Linked DNA regions of Oryctolagus cuniculus. The protein of the gene in region 2 purifies or fractionates together with the protein of the main gene of each other region. This does not show direct contact. Links are inferred from orthologs where the notes say so. Each region holds a gene or a part of one and is shown on either strand. Other genes may lie near its edges.

Region 1 (4,687 bases), on a different chromosome or scaffold from region 2:
TGCCAGAAGAATTTAAAACATCAATATCTTTCATCAGGATTTTTGTGTACCTAAAATTTAAATGTAAGTAGCCATCAATTATTAGAAAGGTTAAAGCCATGAAGAAATGTTCCTTTGGTGATCAGATTAGATTCCCATTTAAGGAAAATGTGATTGAAAACTAAAACTGAGCATTAAAAATAAAAAAACTAATAAAGATTTGAACATTTTAACTTGAATGTTGCTTATAAACTGTTTCCTCCTGCTTTATCCATTATAAGAGATGACCATCGGCTCATAATTGCTTAGAAAATTTAATCTGATCATTATCCAATAACTATGTTTGCTGAGTGTTGGTATCCAACTTTTGAGTTAAAAGCAGTCTTAATTTTTGCATAAACCCTTCTTCACAGGCCATCTTTTGTCAGATCCTGCAAACATTTTAATTCTTTTCTAGACCTTTACCCAAAGAGAGCTGTGCATTCATCTGACCAATAATGATATTTAATTATAATAGTTAGTGTGTACAAGGGCTTCGAGGATCATCCCATTAAATCTTCACAACTCCAATATGTATTAGTATCATATCCTTAGTACAGACGGAAATTCAGATAGCTAAGACAAGGTGAAAAATTCAGAGCCAAAGCAACAAACAAGGCAAGGAATTGATCTTATATCTTACTCTCTACCTTATATTGGCTTGTATACTTGAGAAATCATATATACTTTATATATGATCTAATTCTATTTATATAAGCAACACTTTCCATCTTTTAGCAGTATTATTACATCAATAACATGATCTATTTACATCATTCTTTGTGATTCCCCTTGTAAGTTTCCTGCTTTGTTTCTATTTGTCAGACCATTTCAGCTGCTATATTTTGTTAATATCCATACTCACAATGTTTTCATTATCATCATCATGGTTATCACTATTTTCACTGATGGAAAAAGCAAGAATAATAACAAATATGCCAGTGACATTGTCTCCTTTAATCCTAACATCTTCCTCTTCAGCTAAGTAATATTACCCCCATTTTACAAAAAGGAAACAGGTGATATAATTTGCTCATGCTAAATAGCTATTAAGAGGCAATGCATGGAGAGCAGGGTTATGGCACAGTGGGTTAAGCTGCTGCCTACGACACTGGCATCCCATATGAGCACTGGTTCATAGTCCTGGCTGCTCCACTTCCAATCCAGCTCCCTGCTGATGCATCTGGAAAAGACGGCCCAAGTACCTGGACCCTTGCCACAAACATGGGAGACCCAGATGGAGTTCCAGGCTTCTGGCTTTCATCTGGCCCAGCCCTGACTTTTGCAGCCATTTGGGGAGTGAACCAGGGTACGGAAGGTATTTCTCTGTAACTCTGCTTTTCAAATAAATAATAACATCTTTAAAACAACAAAAAAATGGCAATGTGTGGGATTCAAAGACAAATCTACAGACTCTAAAACCTACCCTTTCCCAGAGGTTAAATAAAACATCAATTTTCCCTTAAAATAATTCATTTGGAGCTGGCATTGTGGCACAGCGGGTTAAGTCACCACCTGCAGCACTGGCATTCCATATGGGCACCGGTTTGCCTCCCGGCTGCTCCACTTCCTATCCAGCTTTCTGCTAATGTGCCTGGAAAAGCACCAGAGTATGGCCCAAGTGCTTGGGCCTCTGCGCCCATATGGGAGACCTGGAAGAAGCTCCAGGCTCCTGGCTTCTGCCTGGTCCAGCTCCAGCCATTACAGCCATTTGGGGAGTGAACCAGTGGGTGGAAGACCTCTCTCTCTTCCCCCTCCACCCTCTCTTTATAACTCTGCCTTTCAAATAAATAAATCTTTAAAAATATTTCAACCACTTAACTTGCCATTTAAACATAAAATGTATTTTTGAACTAAAAGACTATGTGAACACTACAAAGCCAGCATTTAGTAAATTCTTATACACAAATAAATTTTAATGGAAATAAAATAGCTCACCATTCTCGTTGCATCTTACTCAGTCCCAAGTAAATTTTTATTTCCTTTTTTGGAGGCAAACTCTTCTCTACATCAGTTTTTATACGACGTAACAAAAATGGTTTCAAAACCTAAAAAGTGATAATTTTATAAAAATATAAAACATTTAACACTGTAAAGCATGTATTTCATTAATACCACCCCAATATGAAATTTACTTCATACCACATAATATGATGAACACTACCAATACCAGTTGCCAAGTTTCTTGCTAAAGATTCAGAAAGTACTGGCCCATTAGAAAATCAGAAGAAGCTACCTAAATTAGATACTCATGATTTGATGGCACAAAATACAATAAATTAAGAAAACAAGATTATTGACTATTAAGCAAGCAGTAAAGGACCCTTTAAAAAAACTTCCATAGGTATCAGCACTGTTGCACAACAGGCTGAGTCATGCTAGTGACACTGGCATCCCATGTCAGAGTGCTAGTGCACGTTTCAGCTACTCTGCTTCTAATACAGCATTCCTGTTAATGCACCTGGGAAACGGGCAGGACATGGCACAGGTACTTGGGCCGTTGTCACTCACATAGGAGACCCAGACTGTGTTCTACACAGACATGTGGGAAGTGAACTACTGGATAGAAAATCCCTCTCTCTCTCTCTCTCTCTCTCTCCAACTCTGCCTTTTAAATAAATTATCTTTTGCCTTTTAAACCTAAGAAAAAATCTGAAGTCAGAGCATTCATCTAAGGCACTATAAAAATGAAATAAAATCACAGGTCATTTCAATATAGTTTAACATATGAATGAAAAGAAAATGGTTCAACATTAAGGAAGATATGGGTGAATCCAGAAAAAAAGATAATATAAAATAATCAGTGCATACCTGGAAGACAGATTCTACCATAACCACAGTGCTACAACTTATAGAGTGTCTACTATAATGTGCCAGACACTGAACTATGAACTTCACAGTAATATTTAATGATTACAATAAGTCTTTGAGTATGACATGTGAGGATTTCAATTTTAGTAAACTCACAAAAGCCACTTTAAGAAACTGAACTCAAATGTAGATCTGGCAGATTCTGATTAGTCCTCGTGAACCTAGGCAAGTTGTTTAATTTTTCCAAGCCTGTTTCTTCATTCACTTATAGAAAAATTAATTTATGTATGATCAGAGTCGGTGAACTCAGGGGGCTTCCATAGCCTTGGCAGCTCATGACAAGAGCCTAGGTTGATTACTGATGCCATAAACAAGAGTGTCAATTTGTTAAGTCAACAACAGGAGTCACTGTGCACTTACTCCTCATGTAGGATTTCTGTCCTTAGTGTGCTGTACATTGAGATTTAATGCTATAACTAGTACTCAAACAGTATTTCTCACTTTATGTTTCTGTGTGGGAGAAAACTGTTGAAATCTTTACTTAATGTATGCTAAACTGATCTTCTGCATATAAAGAGAATTGAAAATGAATCTTGATGTGAATGGAAGGGGAGAGGGAGTGGGAAAGGGGAGGGTTGCGGGTGGGAGGGATGTTATGGGGGGGGGGGGAGCCATTGTAATCCATAAGCTGTACTTTGGAAATTTATATTCATTAAATAAAAGTTAAAAAGAAAAAAAGAAAAAGAAAAATTAATTTATGGTATGCATATATGCCACGTGTTTCCAAATGCTGATAATGATGCTATTTCTAGGGCTCCCATGAAAATTTATGGTAGTAAATGTATAGATCGTACCCACCATAGACATTCAATAAATTATGGCTATTATTATTAGAGATCTATGGAAGGTACGGAATGTAGAACAGTAAAAGAAAACATTAGCAGAGCCGGCGCTGTGGTGTAGCGGGTTAACACCCTGGCCTGAAGCACCGGCATCCCATATGGGCGCCGGTTCAAGTTCAGGCTGCTCCACTTCGATCCAGCTCTCTGCTATGACCTGGGAAAGCAGTAGAAGATGGCCCAAGTCCTTGGGTCCCTGCACCCATGTGGGAGACCAGCAAGAAGCTCCTGGCTTCAGATCAGCACAGCCCTGGCCATTGCGGCCAATTGGGGAATGAACCCTCGGATAGAAGACCTCTCTTTCTCTCTCTGCCTCTTCTCTGTCTGTGTAACTCTGATTTTCAAATAAATAAATAAATCTTTAAAAATTTCAAAAAAAAGAAGACTTTAGGTTTGCAACTCTCAAACTTGTTTAAGAGAGAGAACCTTAAAAGTGTAAACTGCCTTGGAGATACTATGCCAAACACCTATCCCCTAAAGTGCTAAACTTTAAGGGACAAAGAAAAGTCCATATAGGGGACTAAGGGGAGTGGCCAAAGAGGTAGGAGAAAATTGTCTACTGGAAACCAAGTAGCAAAGAGCTTACAGAAGTAGGCATAGTTAGTGGTATGAAATGGTACAGAGAAGTCAAGATACTTATCAAAATATATCCTTAGTTCATCAACTAGAAAATCATTGAAGACCTTATGATCACGGCAAGAGCCTCAGGTGATAACTGATGTCATAAATAAGAGTGTTAATTGTTAAATGAACAACAGAAGTCACTGTGCAATTACTCCCCATGTAGGACCCCTGTCCTTAATGAGTTGTACTATGAGAATTAACTGCAAAACTTGTTCTCAAACTGTACTTTATATGTTGTATGTGTGTGTGTGTGTGCAAACTGTTGAAATCTGTACTTAGCATAGAGTTGGTCCTCTGTATATAAAGTTAAACTAAAAATGAACCATAATGAAGAA
Region 2 (5,239 bases):
GGAAGATGGCTCCAATCCTACGAGTGTCCCTCTTTCCATTTGCCGTCCCAACTCCTGTGCCTGGTTTGCCCCCATCATCTCTGGGGGCCATGTTTGCCTTGTAAACTTCTCTCGCTGCTCTTGGAGGTTGGTGGTATGGGGGTCTTCACAGCGCTGCCTTGTGTCTTCTTCCTCTCAACCCACCCGAATCCTGCTCCCGCCCCAGCAGCACACTGTGGTTTGTACGGCACTGTGGCCACGTCCAAACCACACTGTGGTGTTAGAGCGAGGGTGGGGGAGGCACCGCCGAGGCTTGGCCCTGGGAGGCCACCCTGGAGAAGTGACTCAAAAAACATCTGGGGCCTTGTGATAAACTTCTCATGACGTGGTGGTGGTGGTGGGGTGTGTGTGTGTGGGGGGGGGCAGTGATGAATGCGCTGCAAACAGGCCCTTTAAAATCCCCAGGGAAGTTTCAGGACTTCTGCCTGCCAGAGGCCCTGGGACTACGTCCTGGCTCCAGAGAGCAAAGTGGAGTCTTTGTTGCCTACACCCAGCTCCCCTGGCTCTAGCAGCACAGAAATATTGGCACCGGGAGGCGAGTCTGCCAATATTGGCTGTGCTGCTCCAGGCGGGGTGGCGAGAGCTACTGGGAGGGGCTGGGCCCCTGAGGGCCGAGGCCAGGAGAGGGAATGGCCCTCTCCTGTTAATAACGTGAGCCCGACAGCACCAAGCTGAGAGACAAATCTTTATTGTTTTCTGTATAAAAATGTCCATCAGACAGAGGTCAAAGGGCTTGGGGCGGATGCTCGTCCAGGACCAGCCAGGCGGCCAGCCCCAGCAGCCTCTGCGCCTCTCTCGGGCAGGCCTCGCTCAGAGTCCCAGGCGATCCACAGGTCCAGGCGAACGGTGAGAGGGCTCGGAGGTGGGAGGTCAGCAGGAGAGCAAAGGAGCTTCAGCGCAGGTCTTTAGGCGGCCAGAACCCAGGGTCAGGCTGTCTGGAACAGGAAGGAGAACAGACCGAGATGGAGCGGGCCCCAAGTAGGCCTCTGAGACAGTGTCCCGGCCCGGCCGGCAGAGTGCACAGGGAAGGGCTCCTGCTGAGATCCTACCCCGCCCCCAGCTGGTGTGGGAGGAGGGGGACTCCTACCCTGGTGGAAGTTGAGTTTCTTGGCCGGAGGAGTTTCTCCCAGCCCTTCAATATCCACCAGGTCGCTATTGGCGTCCGAGTCGTTCAGAGCACTGAGCGTCACGTCTGCGAGGGGGGCACAAGCTAGGCTCTAGGTTCCCGACCACCCCGAGTTCTGTGCTCACCCCATCCGCCCCACCCCCTCCCCCTCTGCCCACCCAGGGGAGAGGAAGCCAGAGGGAGCGGAAGAGCTGTCTTGCTTCGCCCAAGGCCCAGTTCTCTCACTGAGCCTCAGATGGGACCTCTCGCGCCGAGGCAGCGACTCCACCGCCCTCACCGGACTTCTGTTTCTTTACAGGGGGGGCCCCGGCGTCAGGGACGCTGCAGCTGCTGGGCGGGGGGGCAGCCGGGGGAGGCGACAGGACCCCAGAGGCCACCTTCTTGGGCCCTTTCTTGGGTGACTCAGCTGGAAGCGCAACGCCAGAGTCTTCATACACCTTGCGTTTCACAGTGGCCTTTATCTGAGCCCTGAAGAGAAGACAGCCGGTTAGGGAAGGAGTGATCACCAAGTGGGGAGGGTGGGGGAGGAGGGAGCCTCTTCGCAAGAATTTTTGGTGGGGTTCTTTTTCCTGCAGCTTTGCCCTCACACCGGGCGGATGGATGTGAGGAGTGGGCTCCCTGAATTGAGTACGGGGAAAGGCCCACCCCTCCTGAGTCTCTCCTGGGAGAGAGGTGTGGCTGCAGAGGGCCACCAGGTAAGATGGAGACTTATTCATAGATCCCAAGCAATATTCAGAACCGCAATATTCCTGGAAACACTGTGGGAGAATCTCAAGAGATCTGTCGGATTACCCAGGGAACCTTGTGGGTCAAATGCAGTGATCGTGTCTCTCAGACAACCTGAAATCAGATTCTTGGAAGGCCCTCATTGCCAGGGCATTTTTGGGATGTCTGACCAACGTGACCATCCTTGTGTGTTTGCAGTCCTCAAGGGAGGACACGGAGCTGCAAGGGACTTGTGATGAGGGTGGAAGGAAGGGTGAGGGGAGGAAAAGGGCCCGCCCCCCGTTCTCTGCCCGCCTCCCTCCCTCACACGGTCCGTTCCTTGATGACACAGCTGATGTGATTAAGATCGTCCCCAAATCGTTTCACAGCAGCCCTCAGCATCTCTATCTCGGTGTCCGTCCACTTGGCTCTGTCGGGAGGGGAGAGGGGTCAGCAGAATGGGGAGAGGCGTGGAGCGAGCCGGCTGGCGGGGCCACAGCCGGCCAGTCGCCGCCTCCCGGTCTCTGGGGCCCCGGTCACGGATCCATAGAGAGGCCCTCTGTAAGGAGAAGAAAAGCTTGGAGGACCCCCCGGCTGCGGGAAATCGGGACACCTCGGACCACCTCTCTCTCCCATCAACGTGAAAGCCTCGCAACCTGCACCCTAGCAGTCTGCAGCAGCCCGAGGAACGGGAGTGGGTGGTCGTGGCGGGGGTACGACGGGGAAGTAGTGCGGGGCGGGGCCTGTCTGCATCTGTCACTCACTCACTCGACGATCACTTATTAACACCTGCTCCGGCTGTGCCAGCCACAGGGAAACTAACCGCTGTCCCTGCGCTAGAGAGGGTCCGCGTCCGCGTGGAGTCCGAGCGTCCGCCCTCAGCGTCCACGTCCCAGCCCGGGCTCACGTACCCCGCGGGAGAAGAGTCGGCCACGGGATGCAGTTGCATCGTCAGCTCCCCGAGCTTCGTGAAGGCGGCGCCCGCCGCAGAGAAGATCTCCCCGACCTGGGGGCGGGGCAGCATGACAGGGGGCCGGCGCACACCCCCGCGCCGGCCCGCCCGGAGCCCCTAGCCCCACCCCGGCTCGGCTCCCGCCCGCCCCCCGCCCGCGGCGGAAGAGCCGGGAGCCAAGCGGGGGACCCGCCCGCCCGTGGCCGCCAGGGAGCGCTGTCCGCGAGGGAGGTCGAACCTTTGTGGACGCTGACGTCATGGCCCCGCGCACCTCCTCAGGGAGACGCTGCCGCCGCCGCCGCCGCCGCCGCCACGCGAGCCGGGACCACGGAAGGAGCCTGGCTGCCGCGCCGCTCCGGGCTCCGTGCAGGAAGTCCCGCCCTCCCCGCCGCTGATTGGCCCAAGCCCTGCCGTTCCCGCCTCACCGACCGCAGTCACTGGGGCCGCCCGGGCGCGCCGAGGGAAGGAGTGGTGGAAGGCGTCGCCTCACTTCCGGTCAGCCCCATTCCATTTCCGCCCGGGGGTCGGGGTTCCCGGTCTGAGTCTGACCTCCGGCCCGCCCCCTCACGCAAGCACAGACACAAGTTTTAAGAGAGCAGCTTCTCTTTATTGTGGTACGGGACGAGGCTGGGAGGGCTGGGGAGCCAGGGGGCGGCCAACCCAGGCTCCCTCCGCTGGGGCTGCCAGAGGCCGGCGGACAGGGGTTCAAGACTGGCCGAGGTGGGGGGCACCCAGTCCCGCAGAGCGCGCCAGTGACCTGGGCCGGGGAGAGTCTTATAAATAGAGGACGGGGCTGGCGAGGGCAGCAGGGACCCTGCTCTAGCGCACCATGTATTCCTTGCGCTTATTGAGCCGGACTTGGCAGAAAGAGAAGCCTCCCAGGAGGAGGTAGAGGCCCGCGGCGATGAAGCAGTTGTAGCTGACTTGCTCATAAAGCTTGTATATGTTCTGGGGGCCGTTCCTGGAGGCGCGGATTAGGCAGAGAAACGGCGAGCGTTAATAGCAGCCAACACTCAACGGCGCAGTTCCTGTGCGCCTCGCTGTCAGTCCTACGGGGCGAGTGCCACAGTGCCCGCTTTGCAGAGGGGGACTGAGCTGGGCGTACGATGGCCGCTGAGGCCTGACCCCTACACGGCTGGCCAGCTGCTTCCTCCAGCGCCCCCAAGCATCCCGCCCTTAAGTCAGACTTTAGCCACCTGCCCACCTCCCCACCCGACTACTTACTCAAAGTCTTTCTCCGTGAAGGGAACGTCCTCGATTAGCACTGCAGAATGGACATTGAAAAATATTCCGAGCATTATCTTAAAAAAAAAAAAAAAAAAAAAAAAGGAATGGGTAGATTGTAGGACTCAGGCACCTGACTTCCTGGTTACCCCCTAAACCCCTTCTATTTCTAATATTGCCACAACACCTGGGCCTGGGATGGACCAGAATGAACCAGGATTAGGGGCGGCTGCTGCCGGCTTCGGACTCAGCCGCCTGGAACAGGGCGTGCGGTGGCGATGCCGAGACGGGTGATGGGACAAGCGCTTTCCCAGGAACCCACATTGTCCTCCTCCCCAGAAGCGTCACCCTCACGGGACAGGGCGGAAGACGTGAGGGAGGACCGCCACTTCTTCAAATCATTTCTTCTGGAAGTGGGGGCGGGTGGAGCCCGCTACCCTCTTCGGGAACGAGCACCCCTTATGCCCTGTACCCTCCGTTCGACCCAAGCATCTCTCAGGACCCCAACCCCAGCTCCCATTCTAGGCTCCAGTCCCACCACCCGCTAGGCTCCAGTTCCCTCTTCTGCAGCCTCAGTTCGGTCTCGTTTCGCACCAGCCCCGCCATCCTGCCTGCTGCTGGCCCAGGCCCGGAGTTGCCTAGCCTTCGGCCCCGCAGGCTCGCCACCGATTCACGCTGGGCAGCCCCCTCACCAACATGATCACTCCCCAGGCGCTGAGGACGATGCCGCAGGCGGCCAGCTTCGGCCCACAGCACAGGAGCGACGCCATGGAGACGGGAACGGGAGATCGCCCAGGAGCAAGCCGAACAGAGGGGCGGTAAGAAGCCCTGGATGCGCCGGCGGCCAGCGAGCTGCGCTCCGGGGCTCCCGCGGCAGAGGACGGCCTAGGGGGCGTGGCCTCCGGCCTCAACCACCCTCCTGGGGGCGGCAGGCGGTGGACGCTCGGGGTCCTCTAGGGAATTCGGCGCGAGAAGGAGGCCTCTGAAACTTGAGTAGCCTTTCCAGAGTCCCTTCGTGACCCGTGTAGCTCGGAAATATTGCAAGAGCAGGAGTCTCGTGTCTTGGCTCCCCCTCCCCAGGCTGGAATGGTAGGCGCCGCCACGCCACGTGACCAACTTTGGCCGTCACGTGACGAGGAAGTAGCCGCAGCCAGGCTTCGGGAGAGAGACTGACGGTGGCAGAGCTCGGGAAT

Evidence for each region. Proteins that work in one complex are often made in the same cells at the same time.
Region 1: the proteins of BACC1 (region 2) and SMARCA1 purify together in Homo sapiens (affinity purification with mass spectrometry; 4 studies listed by BioGRID and IntAct, with this or other methods). This does not show direct contact. The link is inferred for Oryctolagus cuniculus from reciprocal best matches to the Homo sapiens genes BACC1 and SMARCA1.

What each region holds. Positions count from the first base shown.
Region 1 is NC_091453.1:107,193,467-107,198,153, forward strand, and holds part of SMARCA1 (probable global transcription activator SNF2L1), read right to left. Parts: intron 2,067-4,687; coding exon 1,957-2,066; intron 51-1,956; coding exon 1-50.
Region 2 is NC_091448.1:51,719,081-51,724,319, reverse strand, and holds BACC1 (chromatin complexes subunit BAP18), read right to left. Parts: upstream 3,306-5,239; 5' UTR 3,082-3,305; coding exon 3,061-3,081; intron 2,877-3,060; coding exon 2,782-2,876; intron 2,301-2,781; coding exon 2,199-2,300; intron 1,634-2,198; coding exon 1,443-1,633; exon of another isoform or gene 1,324-1,442; intron 1,232-1,323; coding exon 1,127-1,231; intron 975-1,126; coding exon 910-974; 3' UTR 712-909; downstream 1-711. Other genes in the region: RNASEK (ribonuclease kappa), read right to left, coding at 3,642-3,783, 4,047-4,123, 4,739-4,816. UniProt on the Homo sapiens protein: Component of chromatin complexes such as the MLL1/MLL and NURF complexes.